Linked DNA regions of Caenorhabditis elegans. The protein of the gene in region 1 interacts with the protein of each later gene in a pairwise test. Each region holds a gene or a part of one and is shown on either strand. Other genes may lie near its edges.

Region 1 (9,822 bases):
TTTCCGATAAAAAAACCCCAAAAACTGAAGAAAATCAGTGAAATAATGAGAATAAATTAAAAAAATAATGCAAGTTTCAAATAGGAATTTTTCAATTTTCAAAATCAAAAAATCATATAAAATCTAGAGAAAATTTTTTAAAATTTTTTTATAATGATATTCGGTCTTTGTGACCCCATAGGCGTGTCTTAAAGCAAATTCCCCACATTTTTTACCTAAAATCTTTAATTTAGGACGTAGAAGGAGCTCCGGACGCTGTAGACGCCGATGTTACCGTCAAAAGAACAGCATTTGGCCGTACTAATCTCAATCTGGAAGTTGTCCGCCGAGGCTATGCCCGTGTCCCAGCTCCGGATCAAGTTAAGCATTTGAAGTCGCTGCAGACGATTCCGGCTTACTCCAGGCTTATTAGTAGGCTTCTTATGAGTGAAAAGGTGCGGAATAATCGGATTGGAAAAAAATTATATAAATTAATTTGCAGGTTGCCGATCGTAGAGGAGTCGGAGTATGGGAGCGTGATACATGGGTGGAATCCGTGCAGTCGTACCCATCGCAAGTGACAGGAATTATTCGTTCAGCCGCTATTACCAAGGCTGTGGTATGTTTTTTATTGGAAAATTTACAAAAATAGTAATTTTTTTAATTGGAAAATTTCCAAAAAAAAATCCGCCGAATTTCTTTTCCAAAACTTTTTTTTTCGTTCAAAGTTTATGTTTAAGATAATTCCAATTAATTAATTCTCCTGTTTTAATCACATTGTTGTTTTCTTCAAAAGAAAAACTGAAAAATTACTTTTAAAAAATGAAAAAATGAGCTTGAAAAATCGTTCTCGTGTGCTGTATTCTTAGTTTTGACGAATTCTAAAAAAATATATTATCACCCAGACTTAAAATTTAATTCAAAATTTTAATTTTTGAGTCAGACACACTGTACCCGGTTTCGTAACGACAAATTCTTTTCAAATGCGAAAAGGCGAGCGCCTTTAAAGGTTACTGTAGTTTGAAACTCTTATTAGTCAAGCTTGAAATATAGTTTTTCTATTAAAAAAAATTATATATTTATTTAAAAGCTCAAATATAACAATAAAAACACAATAGATTTTGACAAAAATGATAAAAATCAAAAATCGAAGTTTTCCTCACGATTTGTTAAGATTTATTGTGTTCTTACCGTTATATTTGAGCTTTTAAATAAAAAAAATGAATATATTTTTTTAACAAAAAAAACTATAAAAAATCAACAAAAACTCAAAAATTGTTTTTTTTTTCAAAATTCTTGTTGATGCGGTTTTTTCATTGTTTTTCAAAAATTATTTTTAATTAAAAAACTCAAATATAACAAGAAAAAACATTAGGAGTTGACAAATCGTGGAAAAAACTATAAAAAGTCGATAAAAATTCTGCAACATTGAAATATTGAAACTACAGTACACTTTGAAGCGGCACACCTTTCCTCCGCGCTTCAAGAAAATATTTCGTGTCGAGACCGGATACCGTAATATTTTGCGCAGAAATAGCAGAATTTATAGCCCTAAATAATACTATTTCTTCAAAACCTTAAATTCGCACAAATTTCTGGATAAATTTTTGAATTCAAAAACAAAACAGTTTTTATTCAGGTTCTGCTCTACAACGTGACAAAAGACGTGATTCTCTACGGAGTGAAGTTGACTCAACAGACCTATTACGTAGTCTTGGCGATTGCTGCTCACATGCAAAATGGCTATCGACGATTCGCGTCAGGAGTGGACCGGCTCACGGACAAGTACAACAAGGTCCGCCAACGGATCGGAAAGTGAGCAGCTGTGCGGAGCATCTCGATCGAAAATACTCACTTATTCCTTCAAATTTTTTTTTTGCAAAAAGTCCCCGTTCAATTGTACATTTGCCTGTTTCAGAATTGTTCACACGACTTTCTAGATGCCTTTTCTTTTTGATTTTCGTAGTCAGTATGCATCAATTTCGTTTTTCCCGTCTCTTTTTTGCTCCATATTCCGGTTTTATTCCGTTTCTCCCTCCCAAAAAAAAAGAAAAGAACCAACCTCATCCAAAATTTTTAGAGAAAGAAGCTTAGGATTTTGCGCTTTTTGCAACGTGTATTATCCCTTGTGTGAAATAAAATTAAAACTTTATTTAGGGGGAGCAATAAAAATAATTAATATTAGGAGATAAAAAATTTTCAAAAAAAGAAGCGAAAAAAATATTAGTGAGATGTGTATCAGGTGGTCCCATTTTTATTATAAATTTAAAAATCTTTAAAAAAAAGGATTTAGGACCACTTGCTACTCAAATATTATTAGTAACTAATCGTTGAACAATACTCACAGACAAGGAAGACAAACAAATTTCAAATTAAAAAAAAACTGAAAAATGTCACCACAATTCAAGATGTTTAGCCATATCCTCTGCAAGATGGTCGAATCCTGGAATTGATGACATATTATCATCGTCTTGTTGGAAATTGGAAGGCACTGGAGGAAAGGCTGCTCTCCGTTTTGCTGAAAATTCGGAATTTTTTAATTTTAAATTGAAATTTGTGTTTTTTCCACGAAAAAAAAAACCATTATTGATCTTTCAAATTTGCGAGTGAAATATGACGCTTTGTGTCGGTGTTTGCACAGTATTCGGATTCTGTGGTTCACTGCACCTAGTACCTCGTATTTGACGCGCAAGTTTGAGAAATTCAAGCTCACAAGTTTTTTCAAGAAAAATTACAAATTTCACACAAAAATGGGGGAATAATTTATTACGGGAACACAGAATTCGGAGAATGCGTATTGCACAACATATTTGACGCGCAAAATATCTCGCAGCGAAAACTACAGTAATCCTTTAAATGACTACTGTAGCGCTCGATTTTCGAAATGAATTTCTTTTCAAAAATCTAGAGCCCTGCACAGCCTCCTGGAAATGACCCAACAAGGGGGCTTGCGCGTTTCTCGTGAGCGTGGGAAAATTTTACCGTTGAAAAGTGATTTCCTTCAGTTTTCACGGGTTTAAAATCGATTTCAAACTTTTTAATTACGTATCAATTGTAAAGCTAATTAAGGGCAAGGTGGAAAAAAAAAGATTTTTGATTTTGGTTCAAAAATAAAAGCGCTGATATAAAAAGAAAAAACCGCTAAAAATTGAGTTTTTCTCATATTTCGTATATTTTTCATCATTTTTCTAGTGGAATTTGATGTTCATTTGAAAAGTAATCTTCCACCAAAGCTTATGTTATGAAAAATATGAAGAAAAACAGTAAATTGAACGTTTTCGGAAATTTCTCAATTTTGCACGCGATGCACGAGAAGTGCGCCAACAAACCAAAATTTCCACTGGAGGAGACTGTGCCCTGTAAATCGACACAAGCGCTGCAGTAGTCATTTAGAGAATTACTGTAGTTTTCGCTACGAGATACTTTGCGCGTCAAATATGTTGCGCAATACGCATTCTCAGAATTTTGTGTTCCCGTAATATCCCATAAATCTAACCTGTCACAAAATGTGGTTGAATTCCCGTGGAGCCGTTGGGAAATGGCGTCTCAAATGGGCTCATCAAATTATTATTATTGATTGAAGACATTTCGGGTGGCAAGAAAAAGGACGAAGATTCCAACGGCCAGCTAGGGTGAGGACGCGTGGCTGAAAAAAAAATTTCAAGGAATTTATTGAAACTTGTTTTTTTTCTAAAAAATTATTTTAAAAAACTCACTTTCACAATTCATCTGAGCCATTGGAGAACGCATATGACTGGAGTCAGAACTCGATTTCATCGGTGAAGATTGCATTTCTAGACCGCCCATCGGTGGCGGCTGTTGATTATACGAGTTTCTCGTATTTCCTGTCATAATCTGTGATTCCACGTGATCCCGTAAATCTGCGAGTGCGTGGCGCTGCGAGACCTGAAAATTGGAGTTTTTGAATAATTACAGGAATTTGCGATTTTTGCGGCATAGGTACGGTACTTGGTCTCGACGCGAAATATTTTTGTTGGTGAAGCAAATATACAATAAGGTGTGCGCCTTTAAAGAATAGTGTAGTTTCAAAATCTAGTAAAAATTGTCGTGTCGAGACCGGGTACCGCAATTTTGGGCAAAAAATCCAAAATTTCTAGTCTAGATAATACATTTTAGTTTCAAAAGATAGCCGACTTGAATTTTCTAGGCCACCTCTCCATCACTAACCTCATAAAGCTTATCAGCTCTGATATATGCATTTGGCTGATTATCGGGATGAATAAAAAGACACCGTTTGCCATAGGGGCATAGTCCAGTGGTAGTGTACTTGTCACAAAGTTTCGTCTTGTACTTGTTGTTTTGTCGTGATTCCAGTCTGAAAATATTCAGGGTTTTTGCGCGTCAAATTTCAGGCAAAGCGGCAAATTGCAGGAGTTGAAATTTCCGGCAAATCGGTAAACTGCCGGAATTGAAATTTCCGGCAAATCGGCAAATTGCCGGAATAGAAATTCCGGCAAATCGATAAAATTCCGGAATTGAATTTTTCCGAAAATCGGCAAATTGCCGGAATTGAAATTTCCGGCAAATCGGCAAATTGTCCACCCCTGCGCCAAAAGTTATGCGCAAAAATTTTGAAAACTCACTTCGCCGGGCGCAGCTCTTCCTCTCCATGTGCAAATCGGCAATTTTCAGCAAAAGTGCATGTTTTCGACTCGAGCCATGCCTGACAAATGACCGTCTTGTAAGATTCGGGCTTTTGCATCCGCCGTTCGCCGCGAGGGGGGCGTCTGGAAAATGTAATTATTAGGAGAAACTCTAAAAATGGTTTTTTTTTGTGGAAATTTTCCACTACTTTGACACCTTACATCTTAGTTATTTTAAGCGCTATGAAAGCATTTTCAACTACAAAAATATTTATCACATTATCAGCTACATTAGTGCAGTTAAAAACTTTTTGATATCACAAAAAATAGTTTAGATACATGCGTTGAAACTTGGTACGTTATCTTTGAATTTTTTCAATGGTTTTTGATTTGGTTTTTTCACATTTTTTCCAAATCAAAAAGATTTTGAATTTCTTTTGGTTTAACAATTTGAATAATTAAAACTCACTGTGGAAACCCGTGATGTGGTGATATCGAATTCGCTACAAATGGCTGATCGACTGGATTTGAGGAGTATCTGAGTGCTCGCATCTGGTTCGTCTGGATTTGCTTGTTTCTGAAAAACAGTGTTTGGTGTTTAGGTTTCAAACATAGCTTCTTGCCCAAATTTGGCACAAAAAAGTTAACTTGGGCAACAGTTGGGCAAGACATTTAGGCCCAAAGTTTAACCGAAATTTGGCCCAATTCTGCTTTCGGCAATTTCGGCAACTGCCAAATTTGCCGATTGCAGAAAACTCCCGAAACCGGCAATCGTCAGAATTGCCGGTTTTCGGAAATCAGAACTGCCGGACCTTAAACATGCACTTTAATGAACTTTTTTTTTTTCAAGCTCAAAGTAATGTAATTTTTGAACCGGCTATTGTCAAAATTGCCAATTGCCGAAAATATCCAAAACCTGCAGTTTCCGATTGCCGAGAATTTCTAAAACTGGCAAATGCAGAAATTGCCAATATTGCCGATAATTTCTAAAACCGGCAATTGCACAGAATTGCCAAATGCCGAAAATTTCCAAAACCGGCAATTGCCGAAATTCCAAGTTAATTTTTTCGGGCAAAACTTGCGCAAGAAACTGGAGCCAAGCAACAAAATAAAACTAACTCTGCAATTTCCTTTCTCAATTGCTCATTCACCGCAATCAGGTTAGCAGTTTCAAAAAGCAACGAGTTCAACTGAGTAGTAGGACTCGGTGGCCCACTCTGCGATGATGATCCTTGACTATGACTAGGTGATGAAGCATGAACTCCCGATGAGAATACACCACTGTCAGCTGAACCAGTTGACATGGACGATGGTGGACGCTTGTCAGACTTTTCGAGATCTCTGGAAAATAAATAAGTTGTGGGTATGAAATAATCCAAAAAAGTTGGGATGGGGAGGGGAGGAAGTATCATTATTGCCAGTTTTTGGCGTTGTCACTGTTCTGTCCACTATATCTCGGCTGATAAAACCGTTCGAGTGATAACGAACAGGATATTTATTTATCTCTTCTGTTCACAAATAGTGCACTTAATCTCACTAGTTAGACTTATCAAGCTTTTTCAAAATTACAGCTTTAGCTGTAAAAAATGTGACACGTAAAATATAGTGCATCAATAATTTCAATTAAACCTTTTAACAAATTGCACAAAAACTGATTTAATATCAATTATGAAAATTTTATTTAAAATTTTGCTTTGACTTTTAAAATTAAAAATTTCTAAAAATTGCACATTTTCAAATTGCTCCAGCTTACACTTTTGAAGGGAATTTTTTGTGGTAATAAAATTATTAATTAGATATACATATTCTTGACAAGAATATATAGCCATGTCACAATGGAACACCAACTGAATAAGTTATGAACTTTTTTAAAACTTTTTTTTAATAAATGGAGGTTTCAACTAAACTTTTAAGGAAGCTTTAATATATATTTTAAAGTGTTTTCAGCAAGGATAATATTCAGAACAAATATTTTTGAAAGCTTTACGCGTTTGGAATTAAACAAAAAAAAACAAAGTCAAATTTTCTGTGTAGGCACAAAATCATACACTTTTTAATCAAGTTTTTAAGCATTTTTTTAGAACTTCAGATTTTCTGTCCCTATGCACTATGCATATAGGCATGTAGGCACAAAAAACCTACGTGCCTACTTCCCTACCTATTAACTAGACAAATTCTTCATCTATTTCTTATGTTTTCATATTTCTTTAATAATTAGTCGATATATATGTACAGAGGCGGCCAATTGCCGTTCGGCAATTTTTTTGTCGGCACATTTTTTTTGACGGAGATTTTCAATTCCGGTAATTTGCCGGTTTGTCGCTTGCCGGATATCAGATTTGCCGAAAATGTTTAAAGGGATTTTTTTATAAGACGAAAACACTTAAAACCTTGATTTTTTGATGCGTGCAATTTTGTCTATTAAAATTGAAATTCCGAAATTTCCAACAAAAAAACCGTGCAAAACCACAATTTGCCGGAAATTTTCGACAATTGCCGATTTGCCGGAATTTTTCATTTCCGGCAGAAATGTTTATTATTTCCGCGATTTTCTTTAGATATTTTCATAGAATTTGCTTACTTTTTAAAATAGTCGTAGTATTTTGCCGATTAAAATTTAAATTCTAAAATTTCCAAAAAGCTTTCAAAGCCGTTTTTCCGGCAAATTCGGCAAATTCAGCAATTCGCCGGTTTGCCGATTTGCCGGAAATTTGTATTTTAGCCTCGAAAATTCTAAAAGTATCGTCAAAAATCTCACCCTTTCACCTTGCTCATCGTGCGCCTTCCCTGACTTGATTAAATATGTAAAAAATCTGAAAAACGGGATGAATGTGTCGCGGTCAGCCAATACCCCTGAAAACTGTGAAATTCGTGAAAAACACGGCGGGCACAAAAATTTCAGGGTCAGTTGCGGATAAACGAGAATGAGAGAACAGTGAAAATGAGAGAAGATTAAACATAACTATGACACACAAAATATTTGATATTTGAAGAGGTTATGTACTTAGAGGGGAAGTTGAAATGAACTGAAATTTGAAAGTAAAAAACACGGTCTGAAAATAAGGCGAGAGATCGAGAGACGCAGAGAAGCGAAGAACCGGTCTCGAGAAATGACAATTCATGTGATGGTGATAAGAACAAAAAAGAATTGTGAGCAGTCTATTACACAAGATACGAGGGGTTCGACATGGACTTAACAGCTGATTTTTATTCATGTGTCCGCTAGTTCGGAGGGGGCATGTGATTGCGATCAGTTGATTGGAGATCATTGGATCAGGGGGTATATCAGTTAAAAGTAATAGAACAGGGAGAAACATGATTTTAAAATCCAGTATTTTCAAAATTCTGCGATGCTCCCTACAAAAACCCCAGTTGAAAGAACTTTAAGATGTTTAGGAGCCCTATAAAATATAAAATTACCCAGTTGCGGAGTTTTCTGCTTTTTGACACAAAAATAAATGCGATAGAATCAGGGCTGGGCGGCAATTGCGGTTCGGCAAATTGATTTGTCGACAAATTCGACAAATCGGCAAATTGCCGGTTTGCCGATTTACCGGAAATTTTCATTTTCGGCAAATTGCCGATTTGCCGTTTGCCGGATATCAGATTTGCCGGAAATGTCTAGAGGGATTATTTACAGGACGTAAACACTTAAAACTGTGCCATTTTGAATTTTTCCCGTTTTTTCTAGTTATTTTAACAGAATTTGCTTACTTATTGAAATAAATGTAGGAATATTCATAGGATGTGCTTAATTCGGCTGTCTGAAATTGAAGTTCTGAAATTTCCAAAAAAAAAAGGGCAAAAAATTTTTGGCAAATTCTGCAAATCGTCAATTTGCCGGTTTGCCGGAAATTTCCAATTTCGGCAATTTGCCGGTTTGCCGATTTGCCGGATCGTTTGCTGCCCACCCCTGGTACGGATTACGAAACAACTTGAAATTTGCAGTTACCGCACCTACAAGTGATTCGAAATTGTCTTGCCTGTTTTTGACACTATTTAAAACTCAGAAGCTTCAATTTTTTGGAAAATTTTGCAAACACATAAAATATCGAATAATTGTTCAAAATACATATCAGAATACTTGCGGGTACTGTGGCTGTGGTCGTGTAAAATATGCATTGTCTCTACAAAAATTTTTTGATGTTTTTGTGTCCAAAAATTCTAAAAAATGAGCTAGCGTGGCATTTTCTCCCAATATTTGTCATTAAAATTGAAAAAAAAATACATATAACTATATTTGCTTTGTCAGACATTAACTTGTATTTTAAATATTTAAAACAACTGAATCCAGATTGAAAACATGCACCAAAATTGTCGGTAAGTTGAAAATTGTCGGAATAAAATTCGACGAACATTTTTGAGAATTTTCAGTTTCTCCAAATCAAGTGAAAACTATATTTTTGCCTACCTCAAACCTACGCCTTATAAGACACAAGTTTTGAAGGTTTTGATCCAAACTAAAAACTATGGATCAGCTGTTCCTGAGCTCAAATTTGAAGCTAGAGCCTAAAAAGACACAATTGATTTGCAATGTAGGAACGCTTGGCACAAATTTAAATATTAGATGAAGCTCAGAAAAATGTGATTCTAAATTGTTAAGGGAAAATGAAGAAGCCAAACTGGAAGATTAGGCAATCGAAGGGGAAATGATTGAGAGAAAACTTGGAAGGGCGGGTAAGAACGGGCAGTTTGGAACTGCTTTTCTATTCCGATTGCGTAACAAATGGAACAGAAAAAGACAGAGAAAGAAAGAGAGAGAGGTAACATGTTTGCTGAGTGACCGAAAACGAAAGGATTCAGAGATGAAGACGCTAGCGAAAGGTGTGAGTGTAACATGCGTTTCCATTTCTTTCAGAAATCCACTGTAATGAGTGAAAAGATGGTGATGCGCAAAAGTGAGTATTAGAGGGGCAAGCGAAAAGATATACACACACACACGCATTATAAAAAGTGAAAAATTAAAGCAAAAAGGGCAAAAAAGGAGGCCCGTGTGGAACCGGACTAAATGAAAAGGTTTTGCCGAAAGAAGAAGAAGCAATGCCAGACTATTGCATCAATGCGATTAGGATCAATTGGCAATACAACAAACACGAAACGGCATCGACTTGCCCCTCTCTGGATCAAGATGGAGAAGATGCGAATGAAAAAAAAGAGAAGTGATGGCATGAATATGTAACGCTTTTTTTAAATTGGTTCAAAAAATTGTCCGTTTTTGGAACTTGGAAGGGAGTGCTGG
Region 2 (8,416 bases), on another chromosome or scaffold:
GCGCCGAGGTAAACCTACAGCCCGGAAGTGATCGTAGTCAGACTACAATGACCCCCGATTTGTGTTATGATGTGGCCACATCAGGAACTTCGAGGATTTTCATCCTCACTGAAGCCTTAACACTGTCAGTTCCCCACACTGAAGGAACTGACTGACTATTGCCCCGCGTCTTGGCACATAGCACACGGTGGCGGCGGACAAAAAGCGTGCTAGCGAGAGCCACCGCAATATTGCAAGACTTTGCCACTTCTCGTTGCTTTCAGCGACAATTTCTCATTTCCGCGGATTTCCGTCACCAATTCCTATAGTTTCTCACTATCAGTAAAGTTTTCATAAGATAAAATATCAGTTTTCCACTAAGAAACACTTGAAATTGTCTGTTATCACCGATTTTCAAAATAAAAACATCAAACATGTGTTTTTATTAGAAAAAAAATTTAAATGAATAATTCTTCAAGAATCTGGGTTCCTGAAAAATATATATATCAAATCTTGTACAGAATAATCAGTTTATTGTTTTCAATCTATTTGGATGGTGAAGGCATATAATTTATCTCGCGAGATCTCGCAACCGATGAAGTGTGATGTTCTGCGGATTTGAAATTTTTTCGATAATTCTGCAATCGGCGAATTTTTTGATTCGAATCCTGCTTCAGTCTCGAAAGAAAAAAAAATATTTTATCTACAACACAGCTCTACATGTAAAACATTTAGTAAGTGAAAACCAAGTGCAGGGTTGAAGAAAAACTATCATCGCTCATAGAAATTTATATATCTGAAAATCATTTGAAAAGAATTTCAGTGACTCATTTTGTTGTGGTAGTATTGCTTTTTTGGAATTTTTTTCTCGAAAAAAAACTGGGCGAGGGATTTAGAAATGGGCTATCACAAAATTAATATTCGACGAGAATAACATCATGGAATGTAGTTGGGCGATGAAATTACGGGGAATTTTAGGGAAATAGGTAAAATTAATTGTTAAAGGGGTCAGAAAATAGAAAGAATATACATAATTTCAGCTACTTGACGGAAAGAAGGGAATTTGGGACAAGCGACGTTGTTGGAGGTGTCAACTGGAGGAAGAGCACGAGTTGAATATTTAGTCGAAGAAAGAACGGTTTGGATTTGGACCGAAGAGAGCTGTTCTGACTTGTGGGACAATCTATAAATTTTTAAAATGTTTTTAATTTTCACAATTTCAACTCTGATTACCTGGTTAGCAATAAGCTCTAAACGGCTTTCAAGAGTAGACGACACCTTGATCTTTCCAGCACGAGCAGAAAGTTCAACTCCTCCAGCAGACTCCGATGGCAAGAAGTTTTGTTTATCGAGAACGACCTTGGTGGTGCTTCCCCACTCCTTTTGAAGTCCGTCAAGGCACTCTGGCAAAAGTTGCTCAACAAGACGAAGATCCTTCTCACGGCAACGAAGGACGACTTCCTTTTCGAGCAATTGAAGAAGTCCTTGCATGACAAGTCCCTTCAAAATAGCTGGATAACGAGCAGCATCTCCGGAAATACGGGAGAGATTCGAGCGAGCCTCGTCGAGTACGGCTCCGATGTGGTCTTCACGAGCCTGAAAATATGTTTTTAATTCAAATGTGTCCGATTCAGAACTGGTTTTCAATTTTAAGGCGATTAATGTTTTTGAAAATGTTGAGAAACGTTTTCTCTCACCTTCAAGCAACGAAGACGTCCAGCGTTGAGAGAGTTGGAGGCTTGAATTTTGCGTTGAAGCTCGACTTGTTTCTCCTTCTTCTCGAAGAATTCCATAATCTTTTGACGTTGTTGTTGAACAAGACGTCCCTGAAACAATTTGAATGAATTCATAATTTCAAGGTTTTCCGTTTTTTAGAAGAGATTTTAGTATAGTTTTAAAGGAGTAAATGTTTTAATTCCTTACTTTCTCAATGTTGAATTCTTCCTCGGCTTTAGCATCGATCTCCTCAGCCTTCTCATTGGCCTCTTGCTCAATGAAAGCCATCATGTGGCGGAGCTGCTTCTGAACGTCGTTGTCGCTGATTCCCATGGCTACAGTCGTTAGTGGTTTTCCCTGTAAATTATTTTATTAGTAAAAAGGTTTTCAGACGACAAAATAATAAAAAATCGCGAAAAATGAAAAAAAAATCATTATATTGATTTTTTGAATAGTTTGATGGAATACACAACAGTCGGAAAAAATAAAAAATTGTATTACATGATTTCATTTCGCTGAATTTGATGGTTTTAAAAATTATATATTCAAAAATCCAGATTTTGACAAGACAGGAAAAGCCATTAAAGGTTGGAGCAGATTTTTTGAAAGTAGAAAAGAAAAATACGCAATGGAATATCCAAAACTCATATTTATAACAAAACTGTAACAAAAAGTTGGTCATTGTTGATTTTTCGTCGATACCTCTCATCAATAGTTTGGTTTTCCCCGACATTGCCCACTGGAGGCCAATAATCAAGCGATCTCTGCGGCGGAGGCCAATTCTCTCTCACCATTCGTGACGAGACCAAACACATTTTGTCTATAGAGCGTGTTTGCATTTAGTTTGCCTTTTTTTGACGGTTTTCCCCGAGGGAGATTTATCTGGTTAAACAAAAGAAGCAGCAGATGAACAGAGAAGTGGAATAGAGGGTCGCATCTGGTGTCAGATAGAGATTCGTTAATTTTTTCTTATTTACTTGACCAATATTGATTGTTTTTTTTTTCATAAATACAGCAATAAGCAAAACGCGGTGGGTTTTCCTGTTTGAAGATTTTCCAGTAATAAAATAAATAATAGGGACAAAATTTTTTAATTTTCTTTTCCAGATTTTTTAAAGTTAGGAATTTAGAAAAAAACTAGCTAAAACTAACTAAAAACACAGAAAGATAAATGAATGATGGAAATAATGAATGAAAACGTTTTTATGTAAAAATAAGTTGCCAAACATCTACAGTAATCAAGAAGACGCATGAGCTCTTGAGTATGGGTTTCGCCACGAAAATAGCATCCTGCACGAAATAATTTTTTGAAAGGCGAAATCCCTACTTTTCTCCAAAGGAAACTCATGTTTTTATCAAAAGATAAACTTTATTTTATTCGAACGATGCATTTAAATAAATTTAATCGCTTTTTCAGCGTTTTTAATTTTAAAAACTGAGGGAAAAACTATAAAAATGTATGGGATACGGTAGATTCTGCAAGTTTGCGTGATGTGCCTTGCGGACAATACTTTGAAAATACTTTTTGAATTTCAAAACAGTTTCGTTTCAATCGAAATTCCCGATATCATTCGCCTCTTGAATATTTGTCGATGTTTGTTGCAATTTTAAAAGTTTAATATTTTAAATTCTAAAAAGCTGATTACTCAGCATTTTTAACGGTGCCGAACAAGCTACATGCGGGGATAATGCTTAAACAGGCAACTAACCTTGCATGCAACGCGCTTTCATGTCCGTTTTCTTGTTTTATGCCTCTTCGAAATTTCACAATACAAACAATTGATTTTTCAGGCGGATTTCCCCTCCAAAATGAGCGCCGCAATAACGTGGCGCACTTTCGTGCGTCGAATAGAAAATATGGATTTCGAAAGTAAAATGCGTATGGTTCGACGATATCCAAAACGAAGATTAGCGATAATTATTGGAGTTGTTTTATTCGTCATTTTCATCTTCTCGCGAGGAACGTCTTCCGGCACATCATTCACAAAACAGCATCAATGTTCAGCGGAAAAGTTAAAATTATGGGAAAAAGAGATTGATGTGAGTCGAATAATTAGTAATTATTCATATTTACTTTTTTTTAGGAGTTCGATACAGGAATTAACAATCAAAGCGTAGAGTTTGTGGGAAATGGATATATTGGTGTTGATTCATTCGGACAATTACGAGTTCAGGAGAAAAACCGAGTTCTCGATGTGGAAACCAATTTTTATCCCGGGCTCAACATTGAAATTGACGGACAACAACCTGTTGAGGTTACAAAAATGACGGATTTCAAAAATGGCATTTTCAAAATTCTGCGATGTTTTTCAATGGTTAGCCACGACATAATAAACTATTTATTGGACATTAATGTTTCAGGATGGCGAATGTGCATGTGTGACGTCACAGATATGGGCTCATCGAACTCGTCCAAACTATTTTGTTCAATTGATACAAGTTTCCAATCCAACTGTAATTTTATTGAAATTGATGCATTAAAATTACAAAAAGAACATTTAATTTCAGAAATCAACGGTCCGACTCAACTTGTCTCGTCTTAGTTCCAACTGGTGGGCTCATTCAAAATTAGGCGAGCTGACGGTTCATCAGCGGCAAGTTGCTAGAGCATCGTATGCTGTTGTTTGTACTGATGCACCTGGAAAAGTTTCAGTTTCACAGAAAAGGTATATTTAAAACATTAAAAAAATTAATTAATTTGTTCAGTTTATTTCAGAGAAGAGTCATTTCGGTTTACATGCTCGATTGCGTCGAAGCCAACAAGTGAAGAAGCTTCTCGGGATGCTATCCGATTTTTCCAATCAGGAAAAGACTCGAAAACTTTGGATTCGGAGCATTTTGACGGATGGAGCAAGATGCATTTAACAGGATTCAGTGTTGCGAATTCGAAAGCACCAAATACATTAAACGGAGATAGAATTAATGCAACAAAATACATTTTAATGAGCAATTTACGGGCTCCAACAATTGAGCATGGGGCTACTTTGGAATCTGTAAAGGTAATTGAATATTATTACCTAATTAAAATAGAATGTTTATAGCCTCTGGAAAATTTGGCGCGGAAAAGCGAGCTCTGCTACACTGGTCATTCAAATCTTCTCTTCCCATCACGTCTGTGGCAAGACTGGGATACTCCGACAAAACTTTTTGAGCTCGTGAATACATGGATGCTCACTTTCCAAAAACGAGGTTGCAACAATCTTTTGAGCACTGGAGCAATTGGAGCATCACAAGCATTTGTTCAATCGTTGACTGCATCGAGTTATCACGATTCTCATTTGGAAGTAGCATTGGATGCTCATGATTTGCATCGTGAAATGAATTTTCATGGAATTCCAGTTTATTCGAATATGGGTGTTGTTGGTACTATTCGAGTGGATATAAAATTGGATACGGAAAATCGTCCTTATTTTATGGTAATAGTTTATAGAATGTTTTACAACTGTAGCATAGTTTGTGGTTTCTTGTTGCTTAAATAGACTGAACTGGCCCCGAATTTCATAGTGAGACTTCTCAAAAAATGAATAAAAATCCTTGTCAAAAGAGCTGAAACACGTCTTTTATTTAAATTTTAAAAATATTTATCCTGGAAATACTCTAAACTATTTCTTTCAGGTTTCATCTTCTAGTCAATTATTTGTTTGTGATGGTGGATGCCTCGATAGCCCAGTTTCACTTGGAAAGACTCCAGTTCAATTACCAGTAAAAGTCACGAAACCAGTAACATCTCTTCTCTACATTGCTCCATCTCGACGACATCTTGAACTCCTAAGAAATGCCATTCACGTGTCGGAAGTTGGTGCAGCACCGGCACACGAAGAAGAAGTTATTGAAATGCATCGATCTGGAGAATCAACTGGAGGAATGACAACATTCTGGGTGTTCGTTTTTGTTGTCGTCGTCGCTTTTCATCTGGTTGTCGCCAAAATCGTTTGGAGCGAATGGAGAAAAGGCGATATGACACCCTATAATCCGTATTTGAGGAACCGATATTCTGCTAGGCCTCATTAGATAATTTATATTGTTTTAAAGGTGGAGTGGAGTCAACTGCTTTAAATGACAGAAAATATACCGTAACTAAAAAAAATTTTAATTTCTTTTTTGATTCTTAGACTTCGACTACTTTTTGGAGATATCCGTTTCAAATTCTCAAATTTTACTGGTTTTTCTGTAATTTTCTTTAGTGCTCTTAATTTGAGAGGTGCAAAATTGAAAAAATCATTTTTCAAAATTTAGAAAAAATGTTTATAGTTATATTCCGTCATTAGTGTCCATTTTCTGTAATTTAAAGTAAAAAAACAATTTTGACTCTACTCCACCCTTTCAATAACCCTTCTGCTCTTTTCTAGATTGTACATACAGGAAAACAAATTCCTTAATAAGGACCCTTCATATATAATTTATATACCGAATCCTTGCACATTCATATGTTTTATATATTTTCTCTCTTTTCCATTTTACATCATTTCCCTGCTACGTGTAGAGTAGGCCAAATGCCTTCAGCCTTAACTTACCTAATTTTCGTGTGTTCTTCTATGAGCCTTAACGTCCCCGAAATTTTTTTCTCTGTAAGTTATATATTTATTAAGAAATAATTATATTCAAAATGGGTATTTATGAAAGATTTTCAGAACTATTACAATTAATTCGATTTTTTTTTCTTTTTATACGGTACCAATGGTCCGGTGTTGATTATTGTGATTTTGTGTTGTTCCAGTGTTCTTGTTAATTTTTTAGAAATTTTTCTAACATTGCAATCAAAGGTTTCATCGAAAAAATTCGATTTTTTCAGTGGGAATCGAAAAACAAACATTTTCGATTTTCCGGACAACTGAAAAGCCAAAACAAATTTTGAAATTTCACCATAAAATTCAATTTTTATCAAGTAATAAAAATAAAAAAGCGAAAATTTTAAATCTTCCGATTTTTGAAAAATTCAAAAATCCGGCGCCTTTGGTTGCAATCGTGTTTTGAAAAAAGAAACCGTACACTTTTGGGGTTATTCAAGTAGTGTCGGAAAATTAAAAAGTGTAGAAAAATTACGTCACAACCTTATTCAAGTATATAAAAACATGTATTTAAATACATTTGTGACGTCACAAATGTATTTAAATACATTTTGCTACATTACTTGAATAACCCCACTTCCAATAAAAAAAAACTCCGGAAAGAAGAATTGCCACGTCATCTGTTTCTTTTTTCATCAATTAATGTTCCCTATCTTTTTTCCCTCTGTTTTCTCTCTTATTTCGGTCTCGGCGCCGCTCAAAAGCACTCGCAGAGTCGACCCAATGTAGAGAGCACACGATTCAGAGAGACTTAGACCATATGTGGCGCCAGGGCGCATTCCCTTCCTAGCACTGCGTCTCTTCAATTGGTTCAATCTCTCATAGTAATGTCCGAGAGAGAAAGAGAATTTCGCAATAGTTAGGGAACCCCCTATGGTTTTTTAAATAAGAATTTTTGAATATTTGTTAATTGCGCACTTTAATAACGACAGAGAGAACAATGCGATGTTTTTTGGCTAAACAAAATTCTAGAGAATCAAAAACGGATTCAGCCTAATTTTTTTTGGATCTAAAACGTAATCTGACATTATAAAATTTTTTATTCGAGCGATCCGTAAATTTTTCAAAAAAATCTTGGTTGCACAGGAAGACAGACGGGTGTAATTGCTATTTTCAAGCGTTTTTCAATGTTTTTTCGTTTTTCAATATTTCATGTTTTTGCAAACAATTTAGCATGAAATATTCTCACAATTTCACGAGAATAAAATTGAATAATATTCTCATTCAAAAAATAAAACTGGTTACGATTCCTAATTCTCAGTTTGAATCTAAAATGCAACGTAGGATCAATACAATTACTCAAGAGGAAATTCTAATTCGACGATAACAATTTTTTTAATTTGAAATTTCCATCAAATCTGCGCCCTACCGCTCCCTCTGTTCTCGTAGTTTCCCGCCGCTGTCCGTCCTACCAGCAAAGATCGACAGCTCCTTTTCTCTTTTCCTCTCTAACTCTCTAATGTTAGCGACCTTTGCGACGGATCGGCTTGTGTGGTGTCGGCACAGTTTGTCCCCTGTCGTTTCATTATCTGCGCTTCTCCACTCTAGTGTGCTCTCTCTCTCTCTCTAGTTGATCCCTCAAATTATTGTAAATACTCTTTTTACAGCTCTCTCTAACTACTCTAGGTGTTCCTAAGTTTCATTCAATCTATCATATTTCCTATCTTTTTGTGTCTCTGATATCTTCAGGTATGTGTATGAGTGGAGGGAATAGAATAGTAGAGAAAACAGTAAGTACATACACACATAACAGGAAGGAAGGAAAAACAATTTCAACATTTGTTTCTTTCAAATTCTTTGTTATCAGAGTTCCAGTTTCGCCTAAATCCCTGAATTCCCTTGAAACTGGAGTAGCTTCTTTGGTTTTTTTCCCAAAATGACAGAAAACAGTCTCAATACACCTATTATAAATCTAAAAAAGTTTATAGAATTGTTCTAAATTTTTAATGATTTTTTCAGGTTTGCAGAAATAAAAAAATAATAATGGCTTAATTATTTTTGAATTCTCGCACAAATGGTCATTTTGTTTTTTTTTTCGTTTTCCGGCTGTTTATATTATTTTGGCTTTCTTGGCAAACGATGTTTTATATCAAACATGAAGGAAATTTCCTCCTAGGAAAAACTAAAATGAAAAAATGTCGAAACTAGCTGAT
Region 3 (6,824 bases), about 10 Mb from region 1:
TACTCAGAAACTGGGAAATTTTTTTGTGGAATTAAAAAAAAAAAGAATATGGAAAACAAATTAAAAATTAAGAAAAAAAGTTTTTCAAAAAATTAAAAAAAGCTCAAAAACTTAATTTTTAAAAATATTTTTTGCATAATTTTTGTTCACTAGAAATCCTGGAAGCTTTCCTGTTTTATTCCAAAAAAATTTACAAGATTGACACCGCACAGGGTCGGTTCATTTTGAAAACTTTTACATCAAATTTTTAGAATATTTTTTTAATGATTAAACGTTATTTTGGAAAAATTTTACAAAATGAGACAAAAAAAACCAAGAAAATTGGTTTTAAAAAATTTATTATTTTTCTTCCGAATTTTCGAAATTTTTTTTCTCAAACTTGGAACTTTCATTTTTTATCAGATTTTCTTAAAAATTAGGTCATCTTCTCATTGTAATTTTCTCTACAAAATGAGCTTAACCTTCCAGAGGCTCCGCCCACTTTTCTCCCTCCACACGCCACGCTGTCCTCGTCGTGTCGCCCTCATTTTCTGCCACCACCACCACACAAGTTTGTTACTTTTCTCCGTTTTTTTCTTCTTTTTTTCCCTTCACATTTTTCTCCTTTTTCTCCTTTTCTCCACAAATTCTTTCCACCTTTTTGCCCCCCTTCTCAGCTTCTGGGGGCTCGAGCACTAAAAGGGAGAAGGTTTCGAAATGTAATGCATGTTTCCGTTCTAAACATACACATACATACACACAAACACGCACGAGACGCTAGAAAAAAATGGAGAGAAAAAAATTTCCTCTCCGCTGGCTCTCCGGAGAAAAAGAGAGCTCACCTCCACATTTTTTTGGGGGAGACAGGAAAAGAAAATGCAACATTTTATGGATCCCTGAGCATGATTTTAGTATGGAATTTGGAAAATTTGGAAAATTTTGATTTTGGGGAAGTTTTGGAATTGTTCGATTTTTTGAAAAAAAATTGCCAAAAATTGTTTTTTTTTCAAAAACTTTCCTAATTTTTGGGAGGTTTTTTTTGATTTCTCTTTAAACTTTATATGTTTCTAAAATATCTATAATTTTCAAAAAAAACCATACATTTCCTGTAAAAATCTATTTAAAAAATTATTTTTTAATTTTTCCCGATTTTTTTTTCAAATTTTTGAGATTAAAAATTACCAATTTTCTAATTTTTTTCAAAACAGAACAAAGTTGTTTCTAGTTTGAGAATTCATGACGAGAAAAAAAGAAAAAAAACGTTGGTAATTTGAGATCGACGGAAAATCTAGAACTTTTTGTTTGTTCAGATAGTTGTTTTTTTTCGAAAAAAAACTTTTTTTTCCGCAATTTTAAAAGTGATAGTTTATGTACCTTTAAAAATTAGGATATCTAAGTGTCTTTAGCCGAAGAGCAATTTTTGGTGTCAATTTCCATTTAAAAAATTTCAAAAAAAAGTCTGAAAATTTTTTTGGAAAAAGCTCTAAAAATTCGGAAAAATTCCTACAGTCCGACAATTTTCAAAATTACTCTAAAATATCTGAAAATTTTCAATTTCCCCCGAAAAATTCCCACAAAATTCCCCCATCCAACTTCTACCAGAAAATTCAGAAAACCGGTCGAACGAAATTTCCCCAATTTTCTTTTCCAATCTTTCTCCCTTTCTGCCCCCTAAAACTTTCCCCGGTTACTCTCTCTCAAAAAAAAAAACGAAAAGAAACAGAAAACATCATCTTAAAAGAGAAAACTGGTTCCTAAAAATTGATTTGGCGGGAAATTTTGTTGAGAAATTGGGGGTCAGGCCAAAATTGGACACTTACTTTTCAGTTTTGTCCGGTTGGTTTTCTTTGCGTGGTTGTCTTAGGCCTAGGCCTAGTTTCAGGCTTAGGGTTAGGCTTAGGCTTAGGCTTAGGCTTAGGTTTATATTTAGCCTTAGGCTTAGGTTTAGGCTTAGGCATAGACCAAAGTTTAGTAATCGGCTTTGGCTGAGGCTTAGGCTTAGGGTTAAGCTCAGGCTTAGGCTTATTCTTGAGCTTAGACTTAGACTTAGGCTTAGGCTTAGGCTTTAGAGCTGTTTTCCCTCTTTTTTTCTCAAGTTTTACTCAAAAATATTCTGCTCATTTTGCTCTTTTTTCTATCCCCTCCCCCTCATATCCGTCACGCTTCTCCCTTCCTTTCAAAGCATCAAAGATTTTTATTTTCTCATTTTTTACTTATTGCTCCGACTAAAAATATAATATAAAATCTCATCTTCTTTTTTTTGCAGCATCTCTATATGTTTGCTCCTTCGACGGTTTATACCTATGGACATCATGGTTCTGGAACAGACGAGGATGATGGGTGAGTGTACAGTACCCTACGGTATTCATAGTCTATCACCTACAGTACCCCTGAATCAACTACAGTGCCCATATGGTACCTAACTACAGTACCTATAGTCTAGTTTTGGTACCCCTATGGGGTCTAGCTACAGTACCCAAATAGATCATAGCTACAATACACATGTTGTACATAGCAACAGTAGTTACAGTAACCATATGGGCTGATGTACAGCACCCATATAGTTCATAGCTACAGTACACAAATGGTTCCTAGCTACAGTAATCATAAAGGAACTAAGTAGAGTTACAGTATCCATATGGTGTCAAGTTACAGTACCCCTAATCCAACTACAGTACCCGTATGGTACCTAGCTACAGTACTCACAGATTACAATTGAGATACAAAACCCCCAAAAACTTTAAAAAAATTTCAGTCAACAGGTCATGCCAGGAATGGATAATGGTGATGGGCAGTGTATGGTGTGTGGAGACAGGTCGGCTGGAAAACACTATGGAGTAATGGCTTGTTATGGTGAGTTTTTCTTTTTTTCCAATTTAGGCCTAAGCCTAAGCCTAAGGTGCTAAGCCAAAGCCCAAGCCCAAGCCTAATCCTAAGCCTAAGCCTAACCCTATGGTCTGAAGTTTATGGCCCTAAGCCTAAACCTAAGCATAAGCCTAAGCTTAATCCTAGGCCTGAGCCTAAGCCTAAGCCTAAGCCTAAGCATAAGACTAAGCCTAAGCCTAAGCTTGATCCTAGCTTTGAGCCTAAGCCTAAGCCTAAGGTCTTGAGTTTATGACCCTAGGCCTAATCCTAAGCCGAAGCCTAAGCTTAAACCTAGGCCTGAGCCTAAGCCTAAGCCTAAGCCTAAGCATAAGACTAAGCCTAAGCCTAAGCCTAATCCTAGCTTTGAGCCAAATCCTAAGCCTACGCCTGAGCCTAAGCTTAGGCTTAAGCCTAAGCCTAAGCCTGAGCTTAAACTTTGAGCTATCAAAAATCATGCAATTTATGACTTATTCATGTTTTCGACTGGAATATTTCAATAGTTTACACAACTTTTTCAAGATTCAATTTTTGAGATATCGCTCAAATTTCTAAAATTTCAGGTTGTAAGGGCTTCTTCCGCCGAACAATCCGATCCCAACAGACCTACACCTGCCGATTCACCCAAAAATGCGCCATCGACAAGGATCAACGCAACGCATGCCGTTACTGCCGGTTCCAGCGTTGCCTGACAGTTGGCATGGAGCCAGAAGCCATTCGACCGGATCGTGACGTCATCGGCAAGCAGAAGAATCCACGGAAGAAGAAGATGAAGTCCGACACGAATAGTGGAAGCATCGATGCATCCCTACCCTCACCGAATGGCTGCGATTCTCCAGTTTCCAATAATGAAGATGTTATTTTGTCATTTTTATTGGATGTTGAAGATCAGGCGACTTGCGGGAATAATCATATCACAATGCCTATTGGAATATCAATGATGATGAAGAATGACCCGGATTTCGATGTGTCCACTTTGTTCCATAGTCAATATGTCAGAAATCAGGAGAGCTTTCCGGTGAGTTGTCGGCTGCTCCTAGGTAAACTTGAAGGGAGCTTCCAGTAACCCGTGATGTGTCGGCCGTTTCTAGAAACAAGGGAAATGTCGGCTGCTTCTAGAAGCCCGGCAAATGTCGGCTGCTTCTAGAAACTAAGCAAATGTCGGCTGCTTCTAGAAACTAAGCAAATGTCGGCTGCTTCTAGAAGCCCGGCGAATGTCGGCTGTTTCTAGAAACCAGGCAAATGTCGGCTGCTTCTAGAAATTTGAAATACAGTGTGGGAAAGTTCTATAGGACCCCCCCCTAATTTGAAGGTTTGAGGAACTTCCGAAAATTTTTTTGAAAAACTGCTAATGCCATTCGTTTTTAAATTGAAAAAAACCTATATACATTTTTTTCCAGAAGTTTATCTCAAAAACTGAGGTCGCGCTGGAAAAAACGTCAAAATCCAGTGTGAAACTTCTATAGGACCCCCCGTTTTTTTTCACGATTTTTACTAAAATCAACAGATTTTGGAATTTTTGACAAAGCTCAAATCAAGTTTGAGTTAGAAATGAGTTCAGATAAGCAGTTTTGACTTTAAAAAATTAATACGAAATGTTCTCGTGGGATCTCCAGACTGGTTCTGATTCTTCCGATCTTTGATGTTCAAGTCTGTTTCAAGCTTCCTGGTGCTCTCGGTAATGCCAAAACTTGATAAACTCTCTTTAACAAGTTCCTACTAAAATTCCTAGCACGCACTTTAGATGTTTCGACTGTGTAGTCAAGCTGATTTGGCAAAATATGCAGCAGGAAACAATGGAAGGCTTATCAGGAATCAAATCGTTTTTCTTTGATTACAAGGTTCCATGGGACCAATATTTCAAGTTAAATTGTCCCTCACAGATGTTATTTACTATTTTTTGCGTGAATTATTAAATGTGGAATTGTGGCATGTGTTGTGGCACACATATAGAGGCTGGAAAGCTTACTTCGAAAGCAGTCTAACTTGCAATGCCTCGAGGATCTGCCCTTTCGGACACTGAACGCGCTCAGCTGGATGTTATGAAATTGCTCAATGTGTCCCTGCATGAAATGAGTAGGAAAATTTCCCGTTCTCGACACTGTATTCGCGTGTATCTGAAGGATCCGGTGAGCTACGGTACATCTAAAAGAGCTCCTCGTCGCAAAGCTCTCTCCGTGCGTGACGAACGAAATGTGATTCGTGCTGCCTCCAACTCCTGTAAGACGGCAAGAGATATTCGCAATGAGCTTCAATTGTCTGCTTCAAAAAGGACCATCCTCAATGTCATCAAACGATCTGGTGTAATCGTTCGTCAGAAACTTCGCCCTGCTCCGTTACTCTCTGCAGACCATAAACTCAAGCGATTGGAATTTGCTAAGAACAATATGGGAACGAATTGGAGTAAAGTGAGAATTTAAAAAAGCAAGAGTGAATAATTAGGATCATTGTTTTAGGTTGTCTTCTCCGATGAAAAGAAATTCAATCTCGATGGGCCTGACGGTTGCCGCTACTATTGGCGCGATTTGCGCAAGGAACCAATGGTTTTTTCGAGACGTAATTTTGGAGGAGGAACGGTGATGGTTTGGGGAGCGTTCACGGAGAAGAAGAAGCTTGAGATACAGTTCGTCAGTAGCAAGATGAACAGCACTGACTATCAGAACGTCTTGGAACTGGAGCTCTCCAAATATCTTCGTCACTACTCCAGAAAAGACTTTAGATTTCAGCAGGATAATGCGACAATCCATGTGAGCAACTCAACCCGCGACTATTTCAAGCTCAAGAAGATCAACCTTCTTGATTGGCCAGCTCGAAGTCCTGATCTCAATCCAATCGAAAATTTGTGGGGGATTCTTGTCCGTATCGTGTATGCTCAGAACAAGACTTACCCAACAGTTGCATCGTTGAAGCAAGGAATTCTCGACGCTTGGAAGTCTATTCCGGACAACCAGCTGAAAAGTTTGGTCAGATCAATGGAGGACAGACTGTTTGAGAACATCCGCACACAAGGAAACCCGATTAACTATTGATCCTTTCTTGATTTTAGTATATGAATGTTCTGTTGTTGATCAAAAATAACTGCAACTTGTTAATACGCTGTTTCTGACTGGTTTCTTGGGGATGGCGTAAAAATGTTTATGGTGTGTGTGCTAGGAATTTTAGTAGGAACTTGTTAAAGAGAGTTTATCAAGTTTTGGCATTACCGAGAGCACCAGGAAGCTTGAAACAGACTTGAACATCAAAGATCGGAAGAATCAGAACCAGTCTGGAGATCCCACGAGAACATTTCGTATTAATTTTTTAAAGTCAAAACTGCTTATCTGAACTCATTTCTAACTCAAACTTGATTTGAGCTTTGTCAAAAATTCCAAAATCTGTTGATTTTAGTAAAAATCGTGAAAAAAAACGGGGGGTCCTATAGAAGTTTCACACTGGATTTTGACGTTTTTTCCAGCGCGACCTCAGTTTTTGAGATAAACTTCTGGAAAAAAATGTATATAGGTTTTTTTCAATTTAAAAACGAATGGCATTAGCAGTTTTTCAAAAAAATTTTCGGAAGTTCCTCAAACCTTCAAATTAGGGGGGGTCCTATAGAACTTTCCCACACTGTATGTCGGCCGCTTCTAGAAACCAGGCAAATGTCGGCTGCTTCTGAAAACTTGAAATATGTCGGCCGCTAACTAGAAACACGACAAATGTCGGCTGCTTCTAAAAACCCGGCAAATGTCGGCTGCTTCTAGAAACTAAGCAAATGTCGGCTGCTTCTGAAAACCAGGCAAATGTCGGCTGCTTCTGAAAACTTGAAGTTTGTCGGCTGCAGTTGTCGCAAACTGTAGACGTTTTAGTGAGCCTGGGAAGTGTTCGCTGCTTCTAAAAACCTGTAAAATGCCGGTTGGAGGGTGTCGGACGCCACAGGTAGCCCATGATTTGTCGGCTGCTTCTGAAAACCCGCATAATTTCGGTTGCTCGTTAGGAGTCCCCTA

Evidence for each region. The genes of interacting proteins can lie anywhere in the genome.
Region 2: the proteins of moe-3 (region 1) and C17H12.2 interact in a two-hybrid assay, tested with the Caenorhabditis elegans proteins (one large-scale study listed by BioGRID).
Region 3: the proteins of moe-3 (region 1) and nhr-88 interact in a two-hybrid assay, tested with the Caenorhabditis elegans proteins (one large-scale study listed by BioGRID).

What each region holds. Positions count from the first base shown.
Region 1 is NC_003280.10:13,158,298-13,168,119, forward strand, and holds moe-3 (CCCH-type zinc finger protein moe-3), read right to left. Parts: upstream 7,437-9,822; 5' UTR 7,359-7,436; coding exon 7,342-7,358; intron 5,925-7,341; coding exon 5,703-5,924; intron 5,161-5,702; coding exon 5,053-5,160; intron 4,728-5,052; coding exon 4,584-4,727; intron 4,316-4,583; coding exon 4,168-4,315; intron 3,886-4,167; coding exon 3,696-3,885; intron 3,626-3,695; coding exon 3,476-3,625; intron 2,498-3,475; coding exon 2,373-2,497; 3' UTR 2,118-2,372; downstream 1-2,117. Other genes in the region: F32A11.1 (Mitochondrial import inner membrane translocase subunit Tim21), read left to right, coding at 234-434, 482-598, 1,619-1,798. UniProt on the Caenorhabditis elegans protein: Zinc-finger protein that may play a role in oocyte maturation and fertility.
Region 2 is NC_003282.8:6,784,710-6,793,125, reverse strand, and holds C17H12.2 (Mab-21 domain-containing protein), read left to right. Parts: upstream 1-2,637; 5' UTR 2,638-2,726; intron 2,727-2,789; exon of another isoform or gene 2,790-3,011; intron 3,012-3,084; exon of another isoform or gene 3,085-3,234; intron 3,235-3,486; 5' UTR 3,487-3,504; coding exon 3,505-3,735; intron 3,736-3,779; coding exon 3,780-4,010; intron 4,011-4,056; coding exon 4,057-4,149; intron 4,150-4,203; coding exon 4,204-4,361; intron 4,362-4,411; coding exon 4,412-4,694; intron 4,695-4,736; coding exon 4,737-5,111; intron 5,112-5,310; coding exon 5,311-5,706; 3' UTR 5,707-6,337; downstream 6,338-8,416. Other genes in the region: vha-8 (V-type proton ATPase subunit E), read right to left, coding at 1,100-1,162, 1,213-1,575, 1,677-1,805, 1,903-2,028.
Region 3 is NC_003280.10:2,976,171-2,982,994, forward strand, and holds the start of nhr-88 (Nuclear hormone receptor E75), read left to right. Parts: upstream 1-2,245; 5' UTR 2,246-2,254; coding exon 2,255-2,319; intron 2,320-2,734; coding exon 2,735-2,832; intron 2,833-3,098; exon of another isoform or gene 3,099-3,173; intron 3,174-3,218; exon of another isoform or gene 3,219-3,272; intron 3,273-3,404; coding exon 3,405-3,859; intron 3,860-4,585; coding exon of another isoform or gene 4,586-4,675; exon of another isoform or gene 4,676-4,760; intron 4,761-6,824.